3 linked regions of the Drosophila melanogaster genome follow. The protein of the gene in region 1 interacts with the protein of each later gene in a pairwise test. Each region holds a gene or a part of one and is shown on either strand. Other genes may lie near its edges.

Evidence for each region.
Region 2: the proteins of CG12091 (region 1) and Sap130 interact in a two-hybrid assay, tested with the Drosophila melanogaster proteins (one large-scale study listed by BioGRID).
Region 3: the proteins of CG12091 (region 1) and TwdlD interact in a two-hybrid assay, tested with the Drosophila melanogaster proteins (one large-scale study listed by BioGRID).

The regions. Positions count from the first base shown.
Region 1 is NT_037436.4:1,534,202-1,538,994, reverse strand, and holds CG12091 (uncharacterized protein), read left to right. Parts: upstream 1-2,159; 5' UTR 2,160-2,433; coding exon 2,434-3,399; 3' UTR 3,400-4,066; downstream 4,067-4,793. Other genes in the region: pns (pinstripe), read right to left, coding at 1-275, 841-950, 1,006-1,285.
Region 2 is NT_037436.4:12,804,377-12,812,767, reverse strand, and holds the start of Sap130 (Sin3A-associated protein 130), read right to left. Parts: upstream 6,867-8,391; 5' UTR 6,714-6,866; intron 6,583-6,713; exon of another isoform or gene 6,529-6,582; 5' UTR 6,504-6,528; coding exon 6,431-6,503; intron 6,082-6,430; exon of another isoform or gene 5,901-6,081; coding exon 4,938-5,900; exon of another isoform or gene 4,883-4,937; coding exon 4,292-4,882; intron 4,251-4,291; exon of another isoform or gene 4,223-4,250; intron 4,048-4,222; exon of another isoform or gene 4,000-4,047; coding exon of another isoform or gene 2,764-3,999; exon of another isoform or gene 2,672-2,763; intron 2,563-2,671; coding exon 2,105-2,562; intron 2,041-2,104; coding exon 1,180-2,040; intron 1,121-1,179; coding exon 882-1,120; intron 819-881; coding exon 548-818; intron 489-547; coding exon 318-488; intron 260-317; coding exon 152-259; intron 89-151; coding exon 1-88. Other genes in the region: CG32110 (uncharacterized protein), read right to left, coding at 2,764-3,999; Atg1 (Autophagy-related 1), read left to right, coding at 8,324-8,391.
Region 3 is NT_033777.3:26,637,829-26,642,002, reverse strand, and holds TwdlD (TweedleD), read right to left. Parts: upstream 1,979-4,174; 5' UTR 1,929-1,978; coding exon 1,914-1,928; intron 1,849-1,913; coding exon 1,093-1,848; 3' UTR 949-1,092; downstream 1-948.

The sequences.
Region 1 (4,793 bases):
ACCTTAAAGTGCCTTGGCAGTGACCGGCTGACCGGACCATCCTGTTTCACCCGACTGAGGGAATGCGTCTGCTGGCCATTCGAGAGCTCTGTGATGAACATGCTCTGTAGCGTGTGAATGGCCCCGCAAATGTTTCGATTCCGAATTTCCTCGTAGAACACCAGACTGAACCCATAGCACCGCTTTCCATCTTCTCGTGTCGTGGCAAACGAGTGGAAACGGGGTTCGATGCAATGTTTCTGGGTGCGGAAGCGCAGGCCCTGCGGTAGTGAGAGCTGTGGAAGACAAATGGCGGGGGTGAGTTCTCGATCTCAAGTGGCGGGCATAAATAAAATCCATTCATTCGAACACATGCCCAGATGCCCGAGATAAGGTTTATCGGTGGAGGGGTGACGCTGTCGTATTCGTGGCATCAATTATAAGTGCTTCTCTCACAACAACTCGGGACGAGTGTATCAATGAACTAGCTAGCCAAGCATGAATTTCCACCGAAAGGGCAGCCAATTGAGCTCAATTAGACATGAATATGGATTAGGGTGGCTCGGTCATTCGCAAGATATAAGTTTTTCTATGCTTCAGTTCTACACTTACAATGTAATGATGTAAAAATGTAAATATAAAAATAATTAAAAATTCACATTTAGCAGTCTGAACTGATTCCATTGACAGATGGCAATAAATCACTCTCTGACCTAATGATTCATCAAAATGATGTGTGTTTGGGAATAAGCATGAAGGAAGCCATTTAAATAGTTTAGACTATCATACATTATCTAATCGACATTAACCGATCCACCCTAAGATGGCTAGGGAGTGACTTCAAACAGTCTTTATGATTACCATGCATATGCCGTGGGCATCGAAGGGATTCCAGGGCACGTTCTCGGGATAATGGGCCAAAGGCTTGCTCTTGTAGGCGCGATCCAGCGGCGAGCAATGTAGGTTGTCCCCTAAGAGGCGTAGATGTGAAGTTAATCCCAATCTCGGCGAGCATTCATCACTTACCCGCAAAGCGATCCGGTTCGAGACCCGTGTCCAGATCCAGTCCACATATCACAAAGTAGTCGGCGAAGCGCGAGAACTGCGGATCCGCATCCCGCTTCAGTTGGTTCAGCTCGGACTGAGATTGGGACTGCTCCCCGGGCGAGGTGGGAGATTGCACCAGGGTGGAGGATGGAGCCACCTGGATGTTGGGACCACTTCCATTGCCACTGCCATTTCCACTCCCGCTGCTGAGCATCAGCTTGGACAGGCGACTAGAAACCACATTCTCCCTTGTGGTCATCGCGTCCTCGTCCTCCTCCTCCGTTTCTCTGTCTCTCTCTCTTTGTCTTTAATCCGCCAAATGGGACATCAAACAAAAAGCACTGCCTCCATGTGTGTGCGTGTGCTGCTTGTGTGTGTATACATGTACCGTTATGCGCTCGCGATTTCGTGCACTTTCGAATTTACACAACCAATCAATTTCCGTCTGCAAAATACGTACAACTTTAGGCACAACAACAAGCCAAGTGCTATTTTTACTTGTTTGTTTTATTTTTACAATTTCGACGAAGGTGTGCGTGTGCGAAGGAGAGTGTATGCAAAATTTTCTATGCCAATGTCGTTGCCCACGTCCACCACCAACAACACAACACTCTCCTCTTTCACAATTACACTGTCGTATTTAACCCGCTGCTGGGCCGTGGGAGCCACAGCAATCACTAGCCCCAAAACTGGGTTAACACTGGCTGCGTGTTTGTTTGGACCTACCAACAACAAAGACCAGCTGGGCAAACAAATATCGCGGAGTAGAGCAGACCTGAGTTTTTTTTTGGCAAAAACAAACTACTTTGGTCGCCAGTATGACCAGGCTGTGTAAGTAGGAGTAAACCAAAAGAAAATGACCGTTATAATAATTCAACTAAAAGCATAAGGGGGTTTCTTTAAAATACCAGCAGAAAAATACTTGCGAAAAACAATTGCATCGAAAAATATGTTTGTTTTTTAAAACTTGAGCAATAAGTAAAGCTGCATATTTTACCACCCTTTTTGTTATATATACCGTTGGTGTATATAAACGAGTTGTACTGGTTCCGAAAATAACACTACTACAATAGGGTGTATATGGTTTCGGAACCCGTTCAGGAGCGGAGAGTTGGGGTGGGGAACCAGCACCGAACCAGTTCTGAACCGGATCGCGACCTGACGAGAAAAAGTGTATCACTTCATCACATAACATTTCGCATTTAATTGGAACGTAAATTGTGTGCCCCGTCGAGACAGGAGTTTTGCACCGGAAAAAACGAGTGCGGAGGAGTGGCGTGTAGGAGTGAACGCCAAGGAGGAGCACTCCGACGTCGTAACAAACGAATAAAACGAATCCAAATCCGACACCCCCCCACATGCGATTGATTTGATTGATTGAGAGCACGAGACCACGAGTTCTGGGCGATGCACTCGTCACTCAGCTGGACCTCGCGTGCGATCTCTCGCGCCCTGCGCAGCAGCTTCTCCACGCTCCTGGAAACGGCCACGGGTGGCGGAAGTGGGGCAGCAGCCAAGGGGGCCACCAAGTCGGGAGCGACACCAGGATCCTCGGGCGCCCCACGACCCCGTTTCGTGTCGGTGGTGTGCGGCTTCGCCAAGGACAACCTGCGACACAAGTACAAGCCGGGAAAGTACGGCGAGGACTCATGGTTCAAGGCCTCCACCGCCAGTGCCGATGTCATGGGCGTGGCCGACGGCGTGGGCGGCTGGCGAAGCTATGGCATCGATCCCGGAGAGTTTTCATCGTTCCTGATGCGCACCTGTGAGCGGTTGGTGCAGTGCAGCCACTTTAATCCCCAACGACCAGTCAACCTGCTGGCCTACAGCTACTGCGAGCTGATGGAGCAGAAGAAGCCCATACTGGGCAGCAGCACCGCCTGCGTCCTGATCCTCAACCGTGAGACGAGCACCGTGCACACGGCCAACATCGGCGACAGCGGCTTCGTTGTGGTGCGCGAAGGCCAGGTGGTTCACAAGTCCGAGGAGCAGCAGCACTATTTTAACACACCCTTCCAACTGTCATTGCCGCCGCCGGGACATGGGCCCAATGTCCTCAGCGACAGCCCTGAGTCGGCGGACACGATGAGCTTTCCGGTGCGGGATGGCGACGTGATTCTCATTGCAACCGACGGAGTGTTCGACAACGTGCCCGAGGATCTAATGCTGCAGGTGCTTAGCGAGGTGGAGGGCGAACGCGATCCCGTCAAGCTCCAGATGACGGCCAACAGCCTGGCGCTGATGGCGCGCACCCTGTCCCTCAACAGCGAGTTCCTCTCGCCCTTCGCCCTCAGCGCCAGGAGGAATAACATTCAGGCGCGTGGCGGCAAGCCGGACGACATCACCGTTGTCCTGGCCACCGTGGCGATGTGAGAGTGGTGCTCCAGCCCATCCTCCCTAGTGATTAACGTTTACTTGTAGTCCGTACGTGTTTAGTTAGCTTTAGGAGCCAGTTTCGTGGTTCTGTCTACCGTTTAAGCTGCATGTTGAGATTGAGATTGTGATTGACGAGGACGACGACCCTTTGACCCTTTGCATTGTTAGTTACATATATACGAGCAAACTCATTTTCGAACCGACGAATCGACTTCGACGCATCCTGGTGAGCGACCCGCGCCTCGATTGTATACATAACCCTCGCTATAAGTAGAGAATGCGAATTATCTGCCCGATCTGGCGATCTCTGTCGTCAGTGGCGTTCTAATCACCACAAACAATAAACAAACAACCGATTGCGAAACAATCCCCGACGCCGAGGATCATAAATACGAGTCCGGGGTCCGGATGATGGAAGCTGGATGGATGGTGGACCCGGAATGGAGCGAGTCGAGTGCAGCTATCTGACTGAGGACGGAGGATTACCCATTTACGCGGGCGAACGAACTGTCTTTAAACAATTTTTGTCGAAATGTACTCACTGATATTTGCGACCCAATAAAATTTATTCAATGAAAAACAACGAATGCAGCTTGTAGTCACTTCGTGATAAATTCATTAAGCAAATAAATATGTGTAAACAATAAAGCTGTACGGAAAACTTAAATAGAACGTTCTAATTGCTTAGATTAACTCATGGTCAGAAAGATGGAAATTGATAGATTCAGGAGCGGACAAACTGATTAGCGTGGGGGTGTTTATTTTTAATGCGATGTAACAATCATTTTCCTCCAGAAGTATAGGTGAAATTACATTTTTAATTAAAAAGGTCTTATCTGAAAGAAATCGATTGCGCTTCTGTGACGCAGACTGACTACATATATAAGCATAAAGCTGCAAAAAATATATGCATTCTACAGATTATTATTATATTCGAATAGGAAAAATACCCAGAACTATTTTTAAAAATTTTATTCGAAAATATTGCGTTATTTCGGTGCAACCTTAATTATTTGTATCTAGAATAAAACGCGCTATGGTGGTGCTATTTTTTACGCAACTGTATATGTGTTAAATCGATAATATAAAAAAACATTTATTTTAATTAGTAAAGTTTTTCGCCAGTTTGTAAAATATGTTAACTTTTGGCTACACTTGTGGGTAAATTAAAAGGCTTCATAGATGCCAAAAAAATTTCAGTCAATAGCAACGCACCAAATCCCCGCTGAATTGGTAGGAGTCTAGTGACGAAAGCATCGGTTGCCCCTAACGTTCGGTAATTCAAATTTTGTGACGAATAATACAAATCACACAATAACATACATAACAGAAAAGCTTACGTAACTGAAATCATTATTTAATTTAATATATATGAAAATAATTAAGCTGAC
Region 2 (8,391 bases), about 11 Mb from region 1:
CGTGTGGCTTATGCTCGAAGATCTTCATTAACTGATTCTGTGCCTCGTTGATGCCATCGGTAATAATCTTGCTGCGTTGAATGTTTCCCTGCAAAGTAAATTGGTTTTATGTTGAGATTCAAGCATAATGGATATAAGTATAAGAGCGCACCTTTAGCAGTTCAGTGACTCGCTCAATTTCGCTGTGCTTCTCCTTGTCCTTTTCGAGATCCTGCAGCATGGTCTCCAGCCTGCCCAGACTAAAGACTTCCGATTCATTCTGTAAGAAATCAGTTCAGTCAAAGTAGCCTACCAATACTTTCGTGCCCATTGCTTACCAAGTCCTCCATTTGCGAGCGTAAATGATAAATTTTCCATCCATTGATTTTGCCCTGCACATTTGGCTGATTGGCCAGATCAATGACTGTGGCCCGCCGCTCCTCCCTTGGCTTAACATCAGTGTACCGATGAAAATGATTGTTGGCCAACTTATGTGTGGGCTTATACGTCTGTAGATCAACGGAATCATTTGTTAACTACCACAAAATGAACTGAACCTTCAACTTACATTGAGCAAAGCACAATTGCGCGGACGACGAATCACAAAGTCGACGGGATTTGCGTTCTCCTTGTTGCCCGCCACAGCAGGTGTACTGTTCCGGTGGTTGGCATCGCCTGGCGCACTGTTGGGAGCAACACCCGGGGTCGCTGCTGTCACCAGTAGTCCTCCATTGTTGTGCTTCTGCATGTACGAAGCGCCAGCCGGCGGCGTTGGCTCCGAACTTGGAGGTGGCAGCGATAAGGATGCTTGACTCTGCGTAGAGTGCTGGCTGTCATTGCTGGCAAATACATTATCAGATTATCAACATGCATCATTTGATACAACCACTCAAATAACTCACGTCGATCGTCGCGGCTTTTTCCTAGAGGAGCAGTCATAACTGGAGCTGGAGCTATTACCAGTACCATTCATACGCGTTCCTTGTTGCATCTGCGTCGATCCCACCAAATGAGGCACCTGCTGAGGCTGCTGTTGCTGCGGCGTTGGTGCTTGCACATCCACAAAGGCACTGCTACCACTGCGGGCTCCCAGTGAGGAGTGACCAAGGTTCTGCTGAATCGATTGGTGTGATGAGTACATCTTTTGAAGAACAAATATTAAAGCCATACTTAAGCATATATTGATTGTTGTGTACACACCTCATTAATGGGATTAAAATGCGTGGAATTATCGCGCCCACCAGCGCCTCCCGTGGCTGGCTGATCGCCAATCCTGTCCTGTAATTGCTGATCCACACCAGGTGAGGAATTCGCCGACACTGTAGTTGAGCCGTCCGACGAAGCCGGCGAGTCCGCCCTCGAATTTCTCGTTGAGTTCACGGGGCCAACTGTGGCAGGCACACTAGCGGCGCTACTTGCTACACCATGGGTGACTCGCTCCCGTTCCTTCTTGGCCAGCGCCTCTACGGTCAGCCCAGAGCCAACTGATTGAGGCACTGTCACGGACACCGGCTGAATGTTGAACGTGGTGCCCGGAGCCGGTGGCATGTTTTGTCCACTGTTATTGCTAGCCATTGAAAGCAAAGTGGGTCCTAGATTTTTAGCCGCCCGTATTGGCGAACCTTCCGCATCCCGCTTGCGCATAAAGCTGGACACCAGTGCTCCACTTGCAGTTGCTTGTTGCGGATTGCCCGCTCCCGTGGTCACCTTAACGGACGTATGCAGCGGAATAACCATGTGCTGCGGCGGCGCACTATTTGGTCCTGCTGGTATTATCAATTGCTGGTGGCCAATGGTTCGGGTGGCTGTTCCACCAGCCCCCGACGGCAACACCGTAAAAGTAGCCTGCGATCCGCCGCCACCTGATCCCGCTCCGGCAGTCGCGTGACTTGCAAAGGGTAACGAAGATACCGACAAGCTGCCACCGGCGCTGCTAACCAATTGTGCCTGCGCCTGGGTGCTCTGCGTCACTGTTGTCGTAGTCAATGATAGAACGCCTGTGGAGGCGGAGGCTGGCATAGATTCGTAGTAGATTGTGGCAGCACTTCCCTTCTCATCGATCTGTATAACGATTTAGTTTTAATAGTTAATTGAAGCATCATATATGTAGATAGTTGAAACCTACCTTCATCAACTGGCTCTGTGAAGCAACTACAGGATTCCAGGTGCGTTGAAAGCCCGTCACTGTTGCCCCGCTTGTGCTGGAACCATCTGCTCCAGGGGCAGAAGAAGCTGGTGCCATCATCATCTTGCCCAAAGTGATGCCGCTTGCGTTCTTGATGGGCGTCAGAGTTCCCGTGAGGATATTACCGCCTGGTCCCACTCCCGCTCCCCTGCCACTGATGGTAAGTGGCAGGACAGTGGCTCCACCGGCCGCCGATGTGGCACCCGTCACCGAGCTTGAATTGACCACACTGGCAGAGACATTCGGCACTGGCACCGCCTGGATGCTGGCCACGCCCTGCGGCCCCATTGTTTGTCCTCCACTTCCTCCGCCAGCTGACAGTTTTCCGATGGGATTAAGCTGTGTAATAGTTAGCGATGGCTGAACCTTAGCGGTCATGGTGACAGGTGGACGAATGCCTGTCGATTGATGGTTTCAAAGATATATTATTATTATTTCATTTAATTGTGGTAGGGTTTATTCCTATCATATTCCACTTACAAAAGAACAAGTCACGAAATAATTCTTAAATTTTCAAACACTATTTTATTTTTGTTCTTATTGTATAGTTCTCAGCTCAGTTCAATCCATAAAAAAGTAAACTCTATATAGGAGAACACCTACTTCCACAGCTGGTCGCCGGTCAACTCCAGAACCATCTTAGTGCGAAAATATTTCATGTCTTTCTTGGAAAACGTTATTGGAGCATCCCGGGTTAGGTATTCTGCAAACATGCAGACGAACACGCCGCAATCGTTCATGTTGTCTTGTTGCGGCACATTTTGGGCATCCTCGATGCGAAATTCACTGGTGTCCAAACACAGCCCGAGCTTGTCCTCCGACTCCATTTGAAGGTACTTCACTAGTGCTCGCATCAGATTCGGGTCACCGCGGCCTCTTGAATTGTAGTAGAGCATTGTTTTCGCAGGCAAATCGATTATGACCAGGCACCAGTGAACGAGCATTTGGTGAACAGGCACAAGTATGAGGTCCATGCTAAACAGATCCACCTTTCTAGTCCAGCGTTTTACGCCATCGAAGCCACTTTGCAGCAGGCGGGGCACAAAGAAAGTGCTCATGGCATACACGCTGGGCACTGTACCAGGACGCTTCTCCGATCGCTCGACCAGTAGGTTCATGTAAAAGTTGATTATTTTGTCGTTGAGCCAGCCGCCACTGGTCAGGATTTTGATATCACTGCCGCAGATGTCCAAATTGAACTTGGCCACAATTACCTGCTGCAGTGGATACTTAGATAGTTCCATCAGCCGATCATGGTGTTCTTTGGTCAGCGGAATCAATTCGCTGCTGATTCTTATGTCCTCGATCACATGGACGGACTGCTTAAGGATCAGCTTCTTGTATCTATCGATTTCGCAGGCAATTCGCTCGTGTTTGGCTTTTAAACACAACTGATGTGCTTCATTCAAGCGCTTTCTATTTAACTTGTTTTTTTGATCCGTCCAACGCCGAAATTGCTCGATATAGTTGGACCTTAAAAATAAGGATCTTCGAAAGCGTCGATTGTGGCTATGTTTGAAGACCGCTGGTATGGCTTGCAGCAGTTTCGTTTTACGGTCAACTTTCTTGACCACCTTTGGTATCTCCTTATGTCCTATGTCCTCCTTTTCAACGACTTTAAGCGGTGTCGGGACTGCGGGACCATTGCTGGTTAGTTTGCGGAAAAATTTGAGTTTTTCTTGCACGGCCATTACAACGTCCTCCTCTTGTTCCTGGAAATTCTCGGGCTGCTTTAGAACTGGCATTGTCTTGGCCATAGGGTAATCCTGACACTCTTTTGTGATTAGATCAAAATATCTAGATTTCTCCACGATCTCCTTCTCGAAAGCCAGCATGCTGCTGATGATTGTTGGATGTTGACTAAACTGAATGATATTAGTTCGTAAGCTGTTGATAACAATTGAAATAAAAATTGGGTCCCCCTATTTCAACACGAATTGATAGTAGATTCTCTGCTTCCTAGATGACAGTTAACGTGGTTTATCGATAGTTTCATACTTAACAGCAGAAGTTTCAGTTTTATAAAAATTAAATACTGAATTGACTATTGCTTAACAGATTGCTAAACTAGATGACTTGCTCTTTAGTAAGCATTTTAGAGTATTCCAGTTATAAGTACTAACTTACCCATCTTAGCCGCCGCGGTAGTGCTCATCAAGAATGGCTGCAGCATCACGTTCCCGGCCAGACGAGCTCCGGATCCGATGATCTGTTGAGTGGTTCCCGTCGCTGGCTGCTGCAGCTGAATGATCCGTGTGGTGGGCAAATTAGTGGCCGTCAGAGCAGTTCCTCCGGCTCCGGGACCCCGCCCGGGTGCCACTGTTGCTCCACCGGAAACACTAACGGCCGTTGGAGATGCCGTAACGCTGGTATTCAGCTGCGGTATGCTTGGTGCCCTGATACTTATGCTGGTTGTGTTCAGCTTAGCGGTTGGAAAACTCTTGCCCAGCGGAATTGGTCGCACCTGTCGAGGTGTTACTGTCGTTCCACCGGGCGTCGTTGTTGTTACTCCGCCTGTGGGCGTGGCCACAGCAAAGCGTGGATTAAATTGCTGACCCGGATTCTGACTTGCATTCGGTGCAGACACATTGGAGGAGTAAACTAGTGTAGCCTGATGCTGCCTCTGTGGCAATACAGTAGCCACATAGGCCTGAGGACCTCCTCCCGGTCCCGTCGCCTGTTGTGTCGCCAAGGGCTGGCCAGCGGAAACGGAAAGAGCTATGTGGAAACACAATTAGGATGATGTTGCAGAGTAAGAAAAGATACAACATACCTGTTGGCGCCTGCACTGGAGTAGTGGTCACTACACTGGCATTCGAAACCCCCGCGGATGTCGTTATAATTCGCTGGCGCGGCTGATGAATGGTTCGGATCAGTTGCACCTGTCCCTGACTCTGCATCCAAGCACCACTGTTGCTGGACGAGATGACAGCCGACGATGGTTGCGATGTGAGCGCCACTCCACTTCTGCTCACCGATGCTGTTGCTCCGCGTACGAATCCTCCGGTTGAGCTCAGCACTGTTGGCGCTGTGGGCGTAACCGTGGCCGATGATGTGGCTCTCAATGGCGTGACGAGCCGCTGGCCAACTCCAACGCCAACGCCTCCCATTTGGGTGGCCGTCACACTGGCTCGCGGCAAGTATGTGGCCTGGGTTACGGGCCTGGTAACCGTGATCGATGCATTCGCCCCACTCCTCGCCGGTGCAGCTGGTATGGCTGTTATCTGAGTCCTTCCGGTGGCCGTAACATTCTCTAGCTGCTTGATCATTGGCATCACCACCCGCACCTGTGTGGACTGACCACCAGCGCCAATAGCACGGATCGAAGCTGCCGTAGTCGCTTGTCCTGCATTCAGAGCAATTGGAGTGCCACCTAGGGAAGTTTGTTGAACTTGATTGGCTGACGCCACCTTAATTGTGCCTCCGCTGAGGATCGGTGTGCCCGCAATGGATATCCCACCGCCGCCGTCGGATTTCACGTGGGTGATCTTGGCGGCCACCGCCGGGTGCGCTGCAGAGGATGGCAAATGGGATGGCAATGAGTATTTGTTTATGACGCCGCGCAGCTGCAGGGGCGGATGTGAGTGCGATACCAAGGATGCGGATGCGGATAAAGATCCAGTGGCTGCCAGAGATGATGATGATGATGATGGATATATAGATGGCAGCAATGACAACGATGGCACTGCATGGGTGTGCAGTTGTTGGGTGCGTATCTTAATGGTTTTCAGGGGGGCTGTGCGGGTGGCTACTGTGAGATTTCGGTTAAAAGCTCCACATGGAACACCAATGGACGGACAAGTGAAATTGGGGAGCTACATACATATAACATTGGTTTATTTGTTTGGCTTTTAAATTTAATAATAATATTTGTTTCCTTTTGATGAAAATTAAATATAATATAAATATACAATTTTAAAAAGATGTATGTTTCTATTTTTTAAGAGCCAAACAAGTAAATTTATTAGATAAATAACTGGAAATATATTATCTTTGAGATCAAGCTAAATAAGAACATTTTGTGGGCAGTTGGCAACCCTGAAACGAATGCACAGTAACAACAAAACAAAGGCATACAAACGCAGACGTTGCTGCGAATGTGAGGCACAAAGAGGAATAGGAAACAAACAGTGCGCGTATGCAAGAGCAAAAGAGAGGGGCACAAATGTTATGTATACATACGCATACACGGGGACAATGCTAATACGTATATACGTATGGGGATAAATATATATAAATATTCCACTTGGATATCGGTGGACTTACCTGATGGCGCTGTAGCTGTACTTCCACCGCCCACCGGCCCTCCTCCCGCGCCACCCTCACTAGGCGCACTCATTATTCCAGCTTTGATTTTGCGATATCTGAAAGACGATTTTGGCATTAGACTTCTGTTCCACGTTTCACACGATTTTCGCCTCTTCTACACCACCCGCTCTTTCTCTTCTTATCACTGCGCACTATGTATCCACAAAATCTCTCCACAAGCACGCACACGAAAACAGTCTGAGAAAGGCTGTACTTTGAAATTTTTCTTAGATAAACTTGCCTTTTTATGCTAATTGGTCGCACACATTAAGCGCAGCAAATTAGACTTGATGATTTTTACCGCGCCACCTATTAATACGAGAAGTTTTTCTTGTTTTCCGCTCTTCTTTTCACAAGGCTCAATTAAGTAGTGTTACCAGATTGAAAACAATAAGTAATCTATGAAATACTAAACGCTAGGTGTTCAGAAAAATACTCGGAAATTACACAAGTAAGGAAATACCAAAACAATTTTTTATCCGCTTAAACCGTCATTTTAGGATGATAGGTTTTTAAGCACGAATTTTATAAATCATATTAGTAATACAAGTATTTCCAACATATCATAAAATTAAGGAATTCATTCAATATTTTCATTGATTTATAGATTTTTAACTAAGTAATGCAATGTTAACACATATTGTTTTGTATATATCGTCAAAACTTTGATTTCTCTTCATTAAAATAGACACCAAAGAAGTTTGTTAAATTCAACCCAGGAGGAATGCCTACTCTTCATAGTATTGGGGATAGGTTACTTGGTGTACAGCCAATATTAGTCATTTAATTGATAGTTATTGTCATTTAATAGATTGGTATTGTGTTTTGTCTCCATTTCCATCCAGAAACTGATGATACAGCAAGGCTCTGCAGGCATTGGCATAAGTAAACTCTTTGTCCCAATTTTGTGACTTTTTCTTCATTAAAGAGAAGAAAAGTAAAGTAAAGCCAAGTAAATTGGCTTGTTTTGGTACTTTTAAACAATGGTTCACGTTTACAATTCTTCATCATTAGTTTTAACAATAATAATAATATAGCGAAATAGGTATTAGCTTGACAATATTCAACTATTATCCTCGAAAATTTGGGCCCAAAAATAAAACTAAAAGAATATAATCAAAAAATTAAGACCCATTGGTATTTTAAAGAAAGTGGTATTTTTCGCGCGGGGGCGTATTGGCGGTTCGCCACCTGCGGCCACACTGGCCAACCCACCACTTCGCTTAGTTGTGTTTTCGTCTTGCCTTTTCCACTAGTCTCTCTCGCGAAGTAGTTGGAAAAATCACCTTTTGCAAAGTTTTTCGCTGGGACCAAAAAGCTACATTTTTCAAAAACCGAAAGGAAATTACGCTGATCGTCCGTGTGTGCGTGCGTGTGTATGTGAGAGAGTGTGTGCCATCGATCCTGCAAGTGTGTGTTTGTACGCGAGTGTGGGGCCGCAAATTAAAAGCAATACCACACTGAAAACCGAGATAATCGCACACGGAAAAGAACGGTTTAATTCAATTACAAGTGAAATTAGAGTGTGTGCCCGATAATTGTCAACTGGCCAGGTGGACGGAAAAGACGGTGGTGGTGTTACGTGAAAATTTCGGAGATCGTCGAGGGCCAGAGAATCACATTTAGTGGCTGGCCAAAGGGGAAAGAAATTGATTTTCCATTTTCCACAATTGCAATTGGAAGCAAAAGCAAAGCAGAAGAGCGAAGAAAATAAAAGGGGAGAGCAAGCGTGCGTGCACGAGCGAAAGAGAGTGTGGAGCGCGAGGGGGTGTACGACTGTGAGAGAGAGAGAGGGAGAGTGGGAGAGAGCAGCACTTCCAGGCGTCGCATCCTCCTCCTTTTTCGCATGCAATGAATATTGTCGGGGAATATGAATACAGCTCCAAGGATATGCTGGGCCATGGCGCCTTTGCCGTCGT
Region 3 (4,174 bases), on another chromosome or scaffold:
ATTTAAGGACTCCACTCAACAACGTTCCAAATCCTCAGCATAGTTCAGTTTCGGGCCATGTGTGCTCGCATCTCGCATGATGAGTTTGCCATTCACGGAAGCAGGAAGCCATCAAGGCGCACACACACTCACACGGTAAAATCTGCTCACACCCCGCAAAAAGGGTACACAATCACACTCAATGAGTGTCGCCAGCCGGCAGGACACAGATCAGGAATACAGGCAGCTTTCACCTGCAACAGGACGTTGCCACTTATTCAAACCGCAACGGGCAGAGCGGCTGAGCTGGCAACAATAAGTACCAGTGACGTGCTGGGAAAGTGGTAGTTGATTATTAGCTTTGAAAACCTGAAGCGTACTTGTATACAATTAGCATGAAATTAAGCTTGCAAACTTGGGGACCACCAGCTAATATATATTGTACATAGCAAATGCTTTTCATATAGCATATACCCATAATAGTTTGGAAAGTTTCCTTGTACCTAGCACTCACCTAGTTTTCCCATCACTGAGAGACACCGATTACGAGCAGGCTTACAAAGAGTGGACGGATACTGTAACCGGGTCTAGACCGGGCCATTTTGCAACCACTTCATTTCGAATCTAATAACTCCAATTACAAATGGCGGATGGGATAAAACCATTGTGCATATGCCGGAGAATCCATGACTGTGCGGGTGCGGTTTCGTTTCAGTTCCCGGGAGGCAATATGAGTGGGTGTCATGTGGGTGGCTCAACTTGTTGCTGGACTTTATGACATGCCAGCCGCTTTATCCAGGCTATTATTTCTGGGATTTTATGTGAAAGGACAACGCACGAATGCGCAGACAGGATTTGCCCGGCAAAAAGAGAAACTCGCACAACGGAAAGGTTCGGTTCCGCAGCATGGAAATGGCCGAATCCTGCAATTAGGCTGCAAATGAGTTTTTCAGTTCACATCGGGAATTTGTCAGCAAAACAAATTTTATTCCTCTACATGGATACTTAAAAGCTAGTTAACTTGCACGTGATGGGAGTAGCTAGGTGTTTTCTTTTTTCGATGCGATATTCTGGGATAGGAAGCGTTACCGTTGAAATTTCACTTGAGACCATTTACTTGACGCGGAAACGACGCAGATTGGGTGGCAGGTAATCCTGGCCAGCCACCACATTGGCGGGCAGGTACTCCGAGCTGGGAGCAGCTGCAGCAACGGCTGGGATGGCAGCAGCCTGGGCTGGAGACGAGGCAAAGTTCAGGACAGGAGCACGACCCTCGTTGGAGATGCGAGACACGCCGGGCAATTGGTTGTACTGGTTCTGGATGGCCAGTTGGGCATTAGCCGCATCCTCTGGAGTGCGGTACTTGACGAAGTGCACCTCTGGTTTGTTGGTGGAGCTCGTCTTCAGGGCATTCAGTTGCTTAGCCAGGTTGGACACATCGGACTGTTTGGTGAGAACATAGATGGCGGTCTCCTGCTGAGCAGACTGCTTGGCCAACTGGAGGGCAGCGCGCTCGAAGCCCTGATTTTCGGGAGTGCGAATGAAGACGACGCGGAGGTTCTTTTTCAGGGAGTTGGCGATCTGCTGGTTGCTGGCACCCTCATCGTACTGTTCCTCGGGGGCGGCGTAGCTGTAGAACTCCTTCTGGAACTCCTCTACCAAAGGTGCAATCTGGGGAGCAACAGGTGCTTCAATGGGCTGGGAGAGGACTGCTTCGCCACTCTGCACGGGCAGCACCTGCGACGGAAGTTCTCCAATCACCTGACCACTTCCGGGCAGGAAGGACAGACCCTCATCGGCATGTGCCACGGGTTGGTAGTTGTAGCCCAGTTTATCGGCACTGCAGCTCACGGCCAACAGACAGAGGACCTGCATGATGTTAAATATTAGTTTTATACTGTATTATTCGATTCCCTTATTTTCTAGACACTTACGATAAAAGCACGCATGGTGACTGGAAGCTGTGTACAAATGGAGCTGACAGGAGGAACTAATGCTGGGAGTTCAGCACAATCTGGCTTTTATAGTTGAAGACGCGGCACTGCATTTACCCCTCCCACGAAATAGACCCAGTTTTTGGCCAAGGTAGATAGAGAAATCCCCTGTTAACGAACGACCTTGCTGTCGCAGCGCTGTTGATTTGATTTCGATGCTATTCGACAGTCATTAAAATGCCCCACCGTTTAAATATGCAAGCGTATTCCCCGACCTAGGCCTATCGCCAGCCCGCGATCGTTTGTCTTGGCTTTGATTTTAATGCACTCTGCGACGGTTATAAATATGCATGGGATATCAGGGACTGTGATTGCAAATGCGGCGGACGCCAACGACACTGCTACATTATCTAATTGATTTGTGTTGGCTACGACAGGCCATAAAAAACACAATCTGGATGCTGCAGAGACGGACCAAACGGCAGCCACTGTGTTGAAATGCTCGGAAAATAAACAGCTACTGGCTTTGGCGATAATATCTGGTGGCTGGCGGTCACTGCTCACTGGATGGGATGCCAGTTGCCAGTTGCCAGTTACCAGTCGGCAGTTGGTGCTCCGGGTTGGCCAGCTTAAGCTGGTAATTATAATTTTCATAATTTTCCACGAGCTCGCGTTATCCACTGCGCAGCACGAGTCGAAAACGTCAATCTTTTTCGACGGTTCAGTTAATGAAGTTCTTTAACTAATTTAAACTTTTTCGGCATCGTTTGATGGCCACGGCGAAATAAGAATTTAAATTGTGGAATAGCATCTGTGTGGGTCGACGGGTCACCAAAGATACAAGAAAGAAATTAATAATTACAATCTTCGTTTGACAGTTCAGCTGGTATAAGGATAATAATCTTACTATAAGGGGATGACTTTTATCTGTATCTGCTTAATAGTATTAAGAATTTAAGCTGTGATATACCATATAGTTGTTGTGATTTCAGTTCCCAATGGATGCTTAAATTATGGGACTACCATTGATCGCACTACCATGATGACTCCACCCAGCGTTTGGCTGGCTATTAGCCGGGCCCGCTGCACAGCAAAACTCATACCAAAGTTGGTAGGCAAAAACAAAAAAAGAAAAAACAGCGCCAAAAATGCGCCTAATTTGGAGATGGCAAGCCAAACAAGCCAAGAGCCCCAAAAACGATGAAAAGATTGGAAAACACGCAAACTTGGCAGCTGCTGCTGCTGCTGTTGCTGGATGGAATCCGAGACTTGGACCTTGGACACACCTGTCCCAAAATTGCAGCAAGTCATGAGCTGCCTCCGGCCAGGATTCAGGATTAAAGCGCTTGGCTTCGTGTTCCCCAGTGTTTGGAGATACCGCGAAATAAAAAAAGCCACCTGAAGGGCAGTGCTTGTGGGTTGGCGGAGGATTGGGGAGCATTGTTGGAGAGGCAGCTTTGACGTGACTGGCAAAGTTTTTGGCAGGCGCCGCTAACGAGCGAAGCTCGTCCTCCGCCGCCCAGGATCTCATGTTGCTCAAAAATGCTTAAACTAAAACTTGCTCAACAGATTTGCGCTGGAAACTAGGAAAGAGAACAGCGGAGGGATCCTTTTTACGGCTGCACTTCGCCGTGTCATATGGCGCTGGCACTCGGGTGTAAGTGTGTGTTTGACCTTTGACACTAAAACAATTTGCAAAGCGAAATGATGTCAGCCCCAGTGTCCTGTCATCTCCGACCCCTTCTCCACATCACTGTTGTTTGCCGACTAGTGGCGTAATTTAGTTGAAACATTCTTAAAGTACCGCCTGTCGTAGAATCCTGCGTCCTGGTGGGGCAATGCAGGAACAGCGATTCCGAGTGGGTGGAGCGGTGGGAAAACTCCGCGCGCAGCTCATTAAAAAGTTTGCGAGTGACAACGGCGTCGGCGACATTTGCTTAAGAAAACATTTGGCGTCGGGAGTCGGGAGTCGGTTAACAACACCTTAATGATTATCTAAGAGATACTTTGAAAATAATCCACAAAGTGTGTGGGACAGAAGCTCAGAAGTAAAGTGTTCCGCTCTTGGGCTGAGTAATTAATTATTCATAATAGCAGGCTATAGATAAACAACCACCTTCGCCATAACAACAAAATGTTTTTTGATTGAAATTTAAATTAAATTTGTTTACAAGAATTCCGAGTACCAAGTTGTTGAGTTATTTATGAGCAGCTATGATATATTTCCGAATAATAATTATCAGAAATAATTTATCCTATTA